Linked DNA regions of Tribolium castaneum. The protein of the gene in region 3 binds, or shares a complex with, the protein of the main gene of each other region. Links are inferred from orthologs where the notes say so. Each region holds a gene or a part of one and is shown on either strand. Other genes may lie near its edges.

Evidence for each region.
Region 1: the proteins of Pex14 (region 3) and Pex5 are in contact, whole or in part, in an NMR structure (PDB 4BXU), measured with the Homo sapiens proteins. The link is inferred for Tribolium castaneum from reciprocal best matches to the Homo sapiens genes PEX14 and PEX5. Residues at the interface, in NP_004556.1 of Homo sapiens: Thr31, Phe35, Asn38, Arg40, Val41, Ser44, Pro45, Thr48, Arg49, Phe52, Lys55, Lys56; in NP_001124497.1 of Homo sapiens: Glu59, Leu62, Val63, Glu65, Phe66, Leu67, Gln70.
Region 2: the proteins of Pex14 (region 3) and Pex19 are in contact, whole or in part, in an NMR structure (PDB 2W85), measured with the Homo sapiens proteins. The link is inferred for Tribolium castaneum from reciprocal best matches to the Homo sapiens genes PEX14 and PEX19. Residues at the interface, in NP_004556.1 of Homo sapiens: Leu28, Thr31, Ala32, Lys34, Phe35, Asn38, Ser39, Arg40, Val41, Ser44, Thr48, Phe52, Lys56, Leu58; in NP_002848.1 of Homo sapiens: Gln67, Phe70, Phe71, Leu74, Phe75, Ser77.

What each region holds. Positions count from the first base shown.
Region 1 is NC_087395.1:23,163,039-23,167,419, reverse strand, and holds the start of Pex5 (peroxisomal targeting signal 1 receptor), read left to right. Parts: upstream 1-1,442; 5' UTR 1,443-1,544; coding exon 1,545-1,734; intron 1,735-1,787; coding exon 1,788-1,921; intron 1,922-1,968; coding exon 1,969-2,160; intron 2,161-2,211; coding exon 2,212-2,368; intron 2,369-3,900; coding exon 3,901-4,381. Other genes in the region: ubiquitin-protein ligase E3B, read left to right, coding at 295-424, 471-635, 685-796, 849-1,021.
Region 2 is NC_087401.1:15,465,626-15,468,805, reverse strand, and holds Pex19 (peroxisomal biogenesis factor 19), read right to left. Parts: upstream 1,664-3,180; 5' UTR 1,561-1,663; coding exon 1,494-1,560; intron 1,447-1,493; coding exon 809-1,446; intron 760-808; coding exon 652-759; 3' UTR 593-651; downstream 1-592. Other genes in the region: Pgk (phosphoglycerate kinase), read left to right, coding at 1-170, 221-321, 371-510; pickpocket protein 19, read right to left, coding at 2,277-2,304, 2,356-2,461, 2,514-2,614, 2,666-2,816. UniProt on the Homo sapiens protein: Necessary for early peroxisomal biogenesis. Acts both as a cytosolic chaperone and as an import receptor for peroxisomal membrane proteins (PMPs).
Region 3 is NC_087395.1:22,142,514-22,145,922, reverse strand, and holds Pex14 (peroxisomal membrane protein PEX14), read right to left. Parts: upstream 1,944-3,409; 5' UTR 1,785-1,943; coding exon 1,719-1,784; intron 1,671-1,718; coding exon 1,368-1,670; intron 1,323-1,367; coding exon 895-1,322; intron 847-894; coding exon 765-846; 3' UTR 613-764; downstream 1-612. Other genes in the region: AP-2mu (AP-2 complex subunit mu), read left to right, coding at 2,391-2,567, 2,712-2,874, 2,923-3,141, 3,188-3,409. UniProt on the Homo sapiens protein: Component of the PEX13-PEX14 docking complex, a translocon channel that specifically mediates the import of peroxisomal cargo proteins bound to PEX5 receptor.

The DNA.
Region 1 (4,381 bases), about 1.0 Mb from region 3:
AATAAAATCCTTAGAGTATAATTTTTTCTAAGTGAGAACTTATAATACGGACGAAGTTTTTATGAATAATAAAGAAAGTTTGGTTTAGGAAAAGATAAAAAAAAGAAAATTCTTATTAGTGACCTTTTTATATGAAGATATTTAATGTATTTCCTTTGGAGTGTCAGACGTAAAAAGTCTTGTCTTTCTTTATATTTCATTTTTCAAATTTTTGTTTTTTCTGTTGAAATTACCATTTTTTCTCCTTTTTTCCACGAATATTTTTGTTTTAATTCCAATGAATTGTGCTTTTAGGATCAATTACATCCACTTGATGGCCCACTTCCGAATGCACGTGCAAATCAAGGACCAAACCAGCGCTTTCATTCGCGGCTTCCGCTCGATTATCAACCCCGACTGGTTGTCGCTCTTTTCAACACCTGAAGTGGGTTCAAACCGTTGAAAACGCTCTTTTAACAATAAATTTCCAGTTGCAACGCCTTATCTCGGGTGATAATGTCCCCTTAGACATGAAAGATTTGCGCAAACACACTCAGTATTACGGCGGTTTTCACGACTCGCACCGCGTGGTGGGTTGGCTGTGGGATATTTTAGAAAAGGATTTCACCGAGGAGGAGAAAGGAATGTTCCTAAAGGTGCCCCCCGTAATTTAAAGCCCAATTTTCCTAACTTAGGTAATTGCAGTTTGTGACAAGTTGTTCCAAACCGCCGCTTCTAGGCTTCGCTCATTTGGAGCCGCCCTTTTCGATTAGGTGTGTCGAAGTTGGCGATGATGAAGACACGGGAGACACGATCGGTATTTTTTTTGCAATTTGTTAGATTTTGGAAAAATCTGGAGGGGATTTCAGGAAGCGTCTTTCGGGGGTTTTTCACGATACGGAAAAAGGACCCACAGAATCGCTTACCGACGTCTTCCACTTGTTTCAATCTTTTGAAGCTGCCCAACTACCAAAAGAAAAGCACTTTGAGGGAGAAGCTGCGGTACGCTGTCACTTGCAACACTGGGTTTGAGTTGTCGTAATTGTTAGTGGAAATGGAATTTCGACATATGTGACACCCATATCAACCTTTTGTGTTTTAATATTACGATGATCCGTGTTTTTTTTCTCCAAGCCAAATATTTTATCAGATTAATTTATTTTAACCCAATTTGTTGACTATAATCACTTCCATGTTGTGATGTCTTTGTTGTATTTACTTATGTAATAAAATATATTTTAACGAGTTGTTTCACTCCCGGGGCTTCCCTCAATTTTTGGTGACTATGACATGTCACTATACGCACCAAGTTGGCGCCGCGTCAAGTCTTTTAAGCCAAACATTCGATCAGATTTACGTTATTTTAGCCAAATGTTGTGTTTAATTAACTAAATATTAGAAAAAAAGTTTTATTTATCAGTTATCACGTTTTTTGGTGATTGTGGCTTGCCACTGGTGCCGGTTGGCAGCCGTGCCAGTGGCCTTGTCAGTGTCACTTACGTCAATCTGGAATTTGTTTTGATAAAATGCACTTGGTTGTGTAAACTGGGCTAAAAACCGAAAAAATGGCATTTAACCCCTTGACCGAGGCCGAGTGCGGCCAGAAGAACCCCCTGGCCCGCCTGACGTCGCACCTGACCCACGATCATGCCTTCGCGGAGGCCCACGGGCATGCCTTCCCCAGCAGCTCGGACCAACTGGTCGAGCAGTTCCTGCAAGAGACGAAGTCGGTGCCCCAGAGCTTCCGGATGGACGGTAGGGCCCCCCCGTGCGTTAAAACCCCCGTAATTCACCTGTGACGCTTCCAGATTTGATGCGAGAAATGCACGAAATTGAGTCTCAAAGGTCGGCGCTGCCGCCAATTCCCGCCTCCACGATCAAGGACCAGATCCACGACGACGCCTGGGCGCAGCAGTACATCGACGACGGGAAAATCTTCAATGTAAATAGGCGCTGGTTGTGAGTTTTGCACTGTCATTTGTGTTCAAGGACAATGTGAACAGTGAGGCGATCTGGACGGAGATCCTCTCGCAGGAGCAGAACAATGCGGCTGTGGTGGACGACTGGGGCACTGATAATTTCCCAGAGATACTGCCAGGGCCCAGCAAGGTAAATGCCTCGCAGCAGAGCGCTCGGGAGTTTGTTGAGGCTGTTGATGACCCCAAATTTGTGTATTCGAAGGTCAGACGTTACGTCAGGGTTTGGGGACGGTAAATAATGAATAGGTTTCAGTTTATGAGATTCATGAAACAAGTCGGCGATGGTGATGTTAATTTGGAGGACGGGAGGCTGACGGAGGAAGAGGCGCAGTCCTGGAGCAAGGAGTTCCTCCAAAATAACAACGAAGCGGAGGCTGAAAAAGTCGCCAAAAAGTGGGAAAAGGATTACGGTAACCATCTTTTCCTTAAAAAGTTTTTATTTATTTTTTACAAAAATGTTAAAATCAGTAATAAACCAAAAGGCTTGAGCTAGGGTTTTGAGGTTTTGCAAATATTGGCGATTAAAAATTATCGATTATACAGAATAATATCATATATCTTAGGTAATGAAAAAAGACATCCAACTGAGTTAGAAATCGTTTTGATAAAAAATTGTTTAAGCCTTTTGTTACGAGATATAGCTGTTCAATTGTTAGATTTTTGAACTAAGTTTTTGAATGTAGTTAACATGATTACCTATCACTTTATACTTTCAGAACAAATTATCGATTTTTTTAATATATTATTACCAGAAAAAAAAATAGTACAAGGTAAGTAAAAACCAAAAAGCGAATTTTATTAAATTTCGAGATCATAAATTAAATAATTATCAAGGATTTAAATTAAACCAGTTTCTTTTTTTTTGTATTATTTTCTGTTTGTGTATTTGTTTTCCACATTTTATTCACATGAAATACAAAAAAGTTTAATTTCCTATGAAAATTTCATCTGGATTCAATTTTTATTTAATTGAAAAATACATTTTTTTAAATTAATTAATAGTTATTAATAGCGCTTTTATCTTTAAAATCTAGTTTTTATTTTAATTTTTATGTTCTTGACACTTGTTTACTTTCTTTTTGATAGTTTATTTATAAAAATAATAATAATAATAAATCAAAGCTTTTTATTAAATAAAATTGAACAATAATAAACAGATGAGAAGGCGCAGTCTAGCTTGAAGGTATTCAACTTACCTTCAAAGAAAAATTAACAGAAAATATAAAAAAATTAAATTAAAATAAAATAAACAATATAGAACTTGAATAAAAATAAAAATCGGAAATTACTTAAGAACTGAAAACTAAAAAGAAAAATCACTGCCAGTCTCTCAGGAACAAAGGCAAGAAGAAAGAATTCTTTAAGAAAATAAAAAAATACACAGGAAAAAATTCCTTTATGTTTATTATCAACATCACTTACCTAACTCAGTTGAGCAAAGTTAATTATTAAAAAGGAAATTTTTAATTTTACTCTCGAATGTAAGCATTGAATTTATTAAAACTTTCCGCTGTATTCGTTATTTGCTGTAATTACGTTGGAACCAAGCGTCATCCAAAAAAAAAAAAATCGCCGTACAAGTGTGCCATTAAAAAAATATTTTTTAATAACTCGAAACCTAAAAGAAATTTCAAAAAAAAATTCTTGAAAAATATCACATTTTAAAGTCCAAATAAATAAATACAGGCGAGTGATATAAAAAAGCTGTTTCTAAGATATGGATTTTTTGTTGTGATAACGCATTGTTAACAAACTTATCCGATTACACAACTGTGCAATTTTCGCTCAGTTTGTGAATAATGCTCTTATCCCACATGAATGTTAAATATTTAATATTAAGTTACAGAAGTCTTGATTTTTACGAGTGATATCAAGAAATTTTATTTGTTTTAATACAAAATGAATGATTAGGTCGAGAACTAGCCTTGAGCCCTAATTTCAGAAGACGATTTCAATTCCAAATACTGGAACAACCTCCAGGAAGAGCTCAAACAAACTCTAGAAGGCGCCGAATCTAGCGAAAACACTTGGGCGAGCGAATTCGACTCCTACTATACTGCCCCATACAACGACTATACCTTTACCGAAGAAAATCCCATGTTTGATATTCCTGACCCTTTACAAAGAGGCAAAAAACTGCTCGAAGACGGCGATCTGCCGTCGGCTGTTTTATGTTTCGAAGCGGCCGTAAAACAAGAGCCTGAAAACAGCGAAGCTTGGCTACTATTAGGCAAAACCCAAGCGGAAAACGAACAGGACTGTAATGCCATACCGGCATTGAAAAAGTGTATAGAACTGGAACCCAATAATTTAACGGCGCTCATGGCCTTGGCTGTCTGTTACACCAACGAGAGTTACTACAGTCAGGCTGCACAAATGTTGCTCAAATGGCTCACAAATAACCCGAAATATAGCGATCTGGT
Region 2 (3,180 bases), on a different chromosome or scaffold from region 3:
TTACCTTGCGATTTCGTCACGGCGGACAAATTCGACGAGAAGGCGCAAGTGGGGGCTGCCACTCTCGAGGCGGGGATCCCCGACGGCTGGATGGGGCTGGACATCGGGCCGAAGTCGATCGAAGCGTTCAAAGCCCCCATTCAGAGGGCCAAAGTGATAGTGTGGAACGGGTAAGTTGGTACGACTGACTTTAGCAACCGTGGCCAACTATGGGTTCTAGGCCAGCCGGTGTTTTCGAGTTTGAAAATTTTGCAAAAGGGACCAAAGCCATAATGGATGAAGTCGTGGCGGCGACTCAAAGGGGCTGTGTCACGATTATTGGTAATTAAATCACTTTTGTGGGCGGTTTTTGTCAAATTTGGTGTTCTAGGTGGCGGTGACACGGCCACTTGTGCCGCAAAATGGAAGACTGAGGATAAGGTTTCGCACGTTTCGACGGGCGGGGGCGCCAGTTTGGAGCTACTGGAGGGCAAGGTCCTACCAGGGGTGGCCGCCCTCTCCGACGCTTGATTTTCCCGAACTTTGTTGTAAATTATTGTAATAAACTAGTGATTTTGAGTTTGTGTGGTTGGTATTGGGTGAACAAAATGGCGGTTTTTTCCCAAACAATTTATTTAAATAATAAATAACAAACAACAGTGTTTTCACCAATTACATTACATTGCACTGATTGGGGTCGGCGTTGTTTTGCATTTCGAGGGGCAAAGGGGGCCCCACGTCGCCCACTAGATCGGTCGGGGGTTGTCCGTAATCTTGCAACTAATTCGAGAAAAATCATTCTTGGAACAACATTAAACAAAAAACGCACCTTTTGCATCAAACTCAAGACCTTGTCAAACCTCTCCTTCTTTTGCTCACTACTATCACTCTCTTTCTCCTTCTCTAACTCGGCACAGATCTCCTCCATCAATTTCTGTTGTTTTTCGTATCTTTCTGCGTCTTCTTGACTCAACTTGTCCTTATTTTTGCTCAACCACTCCGGGAACTTGTCTAAAATGTCCTTGAGACTCGGATAGAGCACGTCCTTGGACAGCAAACTCTGCATCATCCCTTGCATGAAAGGCATAAAGGCGTTTTGGTCCCCCTGTCCCGCAAACAAGTTCATAATATCCTGCTCCAAATTGGGGTTCTGGAGCCCCTCAGCCCCCTGACTCAGCCCCTGGAGCGTCTGTGATATCGTGGCTGCGAAATCACCCGAGTCTCCGCTCGGATTTTCGATGACTTGTTGCGCCGTCTCTGCCATTTGCTGGAACTTGGCCTGGATTTGCTCGGGGGTTAACTGGGACCCGTCAGGGTTTGAGCCAAGCAAATTGGCAAAGTTTGACTCGAATTGAGCTGCGGCTTGTCGGATAAAATCGTCCGACCACTCAACGTCCGGGATTTCGTCCTGTGGGGGCGCAGGTTTGCTGTCTTTGGGCGGCTCGCTTTTGAAGTCTTCCAAAGCACCTTGAAATGAGGGAGTTACGCAACGAATTTTACACCACGGGACTCACTGTCCAAGAGCTCGGACAACTCGGCGTCCACTTTTGAGGCCGAATCGGGCTTTTTTGACTCGCTCATTGTAAAATTGGTATAAAACGGGAAGCTTTAAGAATTTGTTACAAAAGTGAGGTTAGGGAAATGTCAGGTGATTTGGGGATTTTTAGGCCACCTGTCGCTATTCCCTTCAACTATCAATTACAGGTTTCTACAAAAGGGTGTACCACCACGTTTTTCGTTATAATTTGTTGTTGTGTGGTTGGTACCTTGCCGTTTTTGACAGAAAAATATGGGCAATTTGAAAATAAAAATTTATTTTTTCGCTTCACACTCTTTAAGACGCATTTGTTATTGTTATAAGAGTAATACAGGTAATGTTTGTAGAATAAAAGGATTTACGTTAAATTATGTAACGTCCGAAAAGATTAATTCCGTTAGTATAAATAGCAAATATATCATAATTATATTTAATTTATTATTTATTATTTATTATTATTTATTATCATTTATTATATTTATTATTTACATTTTAAATTATTATTTAAATATATATTTTATAAATAATAAAAGAGTGGGTTGAGATCCAACAGCAAAAAGCAGACAAAATGAAACTAAATATGGACCCTCATGAGCCCACCCCTAGTTCCGCCACTGGCTCAGATGAAACCTTATTCATTTTTGTGCTCAATATAAAAACAGGGCGAAATCTTTGAAAAAATATTAATTTTTAAATATACTTTAAAAACAGGGCAAAAAATCAAAGTATTCTGAAAAGGCTTTCTTACTACTTTTCGTATCTAAGTGTTTAAAATCAATGTCATCACTCTAAAATAAAGTAAAGTCCATCCAACGTTCCACAAAAAATGATTTGGTTACGTTTTAAGTACTTTCTCTAGGATTTTTCGCGTGTAATAGGCCGACAATTGTATAATAAATATCAAACTCCAACCAACAAATATTCCAAAAATGCCGCCAAAATTGCCTGGAATTGCTAATTAGAAGAAAATTTCACACTATAATAAATTATCAATTACTCAAAACTTCGAACCAGTAATAGACAACGTCTTGAAGGTACAACTTTGAAAACCTGCCCGAATAATACACAAAAATTCGAGTAACGTTGTTGTCCGTTTTACTGAAACTTAGAAATAAAAAAAAAGTTTTTTTTTAAATAATTTTGCCAAACTTCAAAATTGGGAAAGAATTGGCATGGGCCTCGTACACCGTTTCAGCACATGACGAGTAACATTTATTATCGCAACGTAGCGAATCTTGGCGCTCTTTTTGCAAATACGGGCCTGGCTCAAGGTCGTCCGGAAAGAGCGAAGTCCACTTCTCTATAAAACCATTCATAAAAAAGTATACAGGGTGTCTCAGCTAAGACTTTCGAGCCTGATATCTCAGATATTTGTCAACGGATTTTTATGAAATTTAGAATGCACATATTTTAGGGGCAAAAAAATGACCTCAACTAAAAAATTAAATTTTAAAACACATTTCTTTTTTGCATCCGTACCCACGTTTAACAGTTTGCTTCTCATTTTTCTCGCAAAACAGACGTCTTCCACGAACGAGTTTTTTCTTTCAGCATTTTTCACTAACGATAATTTTTTTAATATAAGTCTTAAAAGGCTTAGCATTTTAAAAAGGCATGTAAAAATTACGTTTTTAAGACTTGAGTTTTTGCATTAATTGGATTTT
Region 3 (3,409 bases):
GTTTTCCAAGACTCTGATCTTATTTTCTGCATCAGAAAATAATTATACGAAACAATAATTTTGTGTTCAAAATTATTGGGACTAGATTAGATAATAATGTATATAGGTAGTTCAGCTTGGCTAAAATTAGGCAAAGCTTCGATTTTTGGCACCAATTATTGTCATATCATAAACTCGGTGCCTGAGTTGAACACCACATTTCGTGGCCAATTTTTATTTACAGTTGAACTGTACTTAAGCGCCCTCACGCGGCCAATTTTTTTAAGTAAGCTTTGCCAACTCCGTTGGGAGCTTGCCAACAGTTTTGGTTTGTAAATAATTGTAAATTGTGACGCTGTCTTAATGTTATTGTTGAAACTACTAGATAAGGTGCTACTTCACACTTTTGTGAATAGTCAAATAGGGTGTGCTGTCTTTAGAAAAAATTGTTTTTTTTTGCCTGGTAGGTTGTACTTACGGCAAGTTTTGGAATAGTTAATTGTTAGTTTCTAGGTACAAATCCTAACCTTTGTAAATACATGTTTTAGCGTTTAAACTGTACAGTAACTCTATACAAACTTGGAACAAAGTACCTAATAAATGACCTTTTACAGTGAAATAAAACTATTTAAGTAGAATCCAGAGTTTTATTGCTGCCATAAGGCAGAGTTAAAAATATTTTCTCACCACAAAAAAATTACCCTTCTTTTCTAATCCTATGTCAGCTAACTGCAAAACCTAATAACCAAGTGTTTCCTACTTTAAATGGCCTCGTTTTTGGAAGATTAATCTTTATCGTCGTCGTCATCATCGTCAACATCTTTGGATTTGTGTCTTCTAAAATCACTATCTTTGGATGAGAAAGATCTGCAATAAAATCAATAAAACCCGTCCGGAAAAAATCAAACCACTTGCATTATATCTAGACTAGAATCACTATTTTTTGCTGCATGTTCATGTTCCGAAGACCCTGATCCTGACCCAACTTCCATCAGTTCCTCGGCTTTTCTCTCAGGGTCTGAGTCGGGGTCGGAGTCCTGACTTATGCTAGTCTTCTGCCACGCAGGTATCGACGGACGGACTACTGAGCTTTTGGAAACCGGCGGAAATTGATTCCGGCTCAGGAGCAGGCCTTTGACTGTCGCAATTTCAGATTTCAAGTCTGATAATTGCCGCTGCGTGCTGCTCTCAGCCCCTTGACTAATTTTATCTACTTCTACTTTGACACTAAGTAAATTGTTTTTTAAGTCATTCACAGATTGCTTAAAACTCTTGTCTAATTCATCTATCGACTCCTCTACACTTTTCTTCTTTTTCCCGAAGAAAAACGGCGCTATAAATTTCTGCAAAAAATGGTATAGCGGCTTTTAACCACGGGAAACACGCACCATGTAAAATTTGTACACGACGTACGCTACGAAACTAAAAATGGCCACATTATGTACAACTTCTTTAACCTTATCAAATAAACTAATTTGGACCGTTGCACTGTTTGGGTACGGAATTAGGGAACTTGGGGGCAGAGGCGGCGTCCGATTTCTTTGTTCGTGGTATTTGTAAGCCCCCGATTTCTCGCACGCCTGTCTGATCTCCTCATCGGTTAAACCCTTCCGTTTCAAAAACCTTTGTTGTTCTCCTAGCGATGTTTTGAGCACGTTGGGGTTCTCCAGGAATTTTATAGCCGTGTTCACCTACAGTTAGCAATCGATAAATGGGGCAATTTAACCTAAACAACTTACCAAATCTTCCCGAACTGGGGGAGTCTCAGGGCGATTTTCCTCAAGTGAGGACAGTTGATCAGACATGGTTTTACACTAACCTAATTACTTAAAATTGATACATGGAAGTGATAACGCGAGTTCGGAAGACACCACACTTGTTTTTCTGCAAACTTTTAATTTTCAATCTCAAATTCCAAGGTTAAACAAAAACAAATGTCATTGGGACGCTGTCAAATCAAATTCCTGGAGACAAAGCGAAAGTCACTATTTAAATTTAGTCAAAAGACGACTTTTTTTCAAAAAAAAATTGCGATTTTATTGTAGAAACCTTTAAGCATTAGTCAATAATATTAGATAATTGCGATAATAATAATTTTTGTGTTTTTGCTAACATGGAAGCGTTATCGAGCGCATTATGAAACCAAACACTCTTTGGATTATCGCAGTGACAAGTTGTCAGTGGGTGTATGATGGCCAAGTAAAATAAAAACCGTTCGGCTTTAACTAATAATTCCGTTAAATCACAAAAGTGTGTGCGTAAAAAGCCTCTAATGACTTCACAATTCGGTAAATAACCAGTTTTCCCTCAAACTGTCCAATTTTTGGCCGATTTCAGTCGGCGTGAATAAAACTGCATTTGTAGTGATTACACCTGGTTTTAGGTCATTAGGCGAGAGCTGAGCCGGCAGAATGATCGGGGGGTTGTTCGTGTACAACCACAAGGGCGAAGTCCTCATTTCCCGAGTTTACAGGGATGATATCGGCAGAAATGCGGTCGATGCGTTTCGGGTTAATGTTATACATGCCCGACAACAAGTCCGCTCTCCGGTCACAAACATAGCACGAACGTCCTTTTTCCACATTAAGGTACATTTTGGTTTTGAAAATTGGACAAAAACTGGTGCGATTTCAACTTTTTCACAACCTTTTTGTTGCTTGTTTTGCGAATTTTGCACAAAATTGTATCAAATGAGTCTAGTCTCGGTCGAAATTGTGTTTTTTGATTTCCAGAGGGCTAATATTTGGATTGCCGCCGTAACAAAGCAAAATGTCAACGCCGCCATGGTTTTTGAGTTCTTGTTGAAGATTATCGAAGTCATGCAGTCGTATTTTGGGAAAATCTCTGAAGAGAATATTAAAAATAATTTCGTTCTTATTTATGAATTACTAGACGGTAAAATCGTTCAGTTGCATTGATTTGGTCATTACATGAAAATTGTAGAAATCCTGGACTTTGGTTACCCTCAAAACACCGATACCGGCGTTTTGAAAACGTTCATAACCCAACAAGGGATCAAATCGGCCACTAAGGAAGAACAAGCTCAGATTACGTCACAGGTTACTGGTCAGATTGGTTGGAGGCGTGAGGGTATCAAGTATCGTCGAAACGAGTTGTTTTTGGATGTTTTGGAATATGTTAACCTACTTATGTCGCCTCAAGGTTTTATAATTTTTTTTCCTGAATTTGTTTTCATAAAAAACTTTAGGCCAGGTTCTTTCGGCCCACGTGGCCGGTAAAGTCGTGATGAAGTCGTATTTGTCGGGAATGCCCGAATGCAAGTTCGGGATTAACGACAAGATTGTGATGGAAGCCAAAGGCAAAGGGGGCTTAGGGTCGACGTCTGATTCCGATCAGACCCGGTCTGGCAAACCAGTCGTTGTAATTGACGATTGCCAGTTCCACCAATGCGTGAAATTAAGTAAATTCG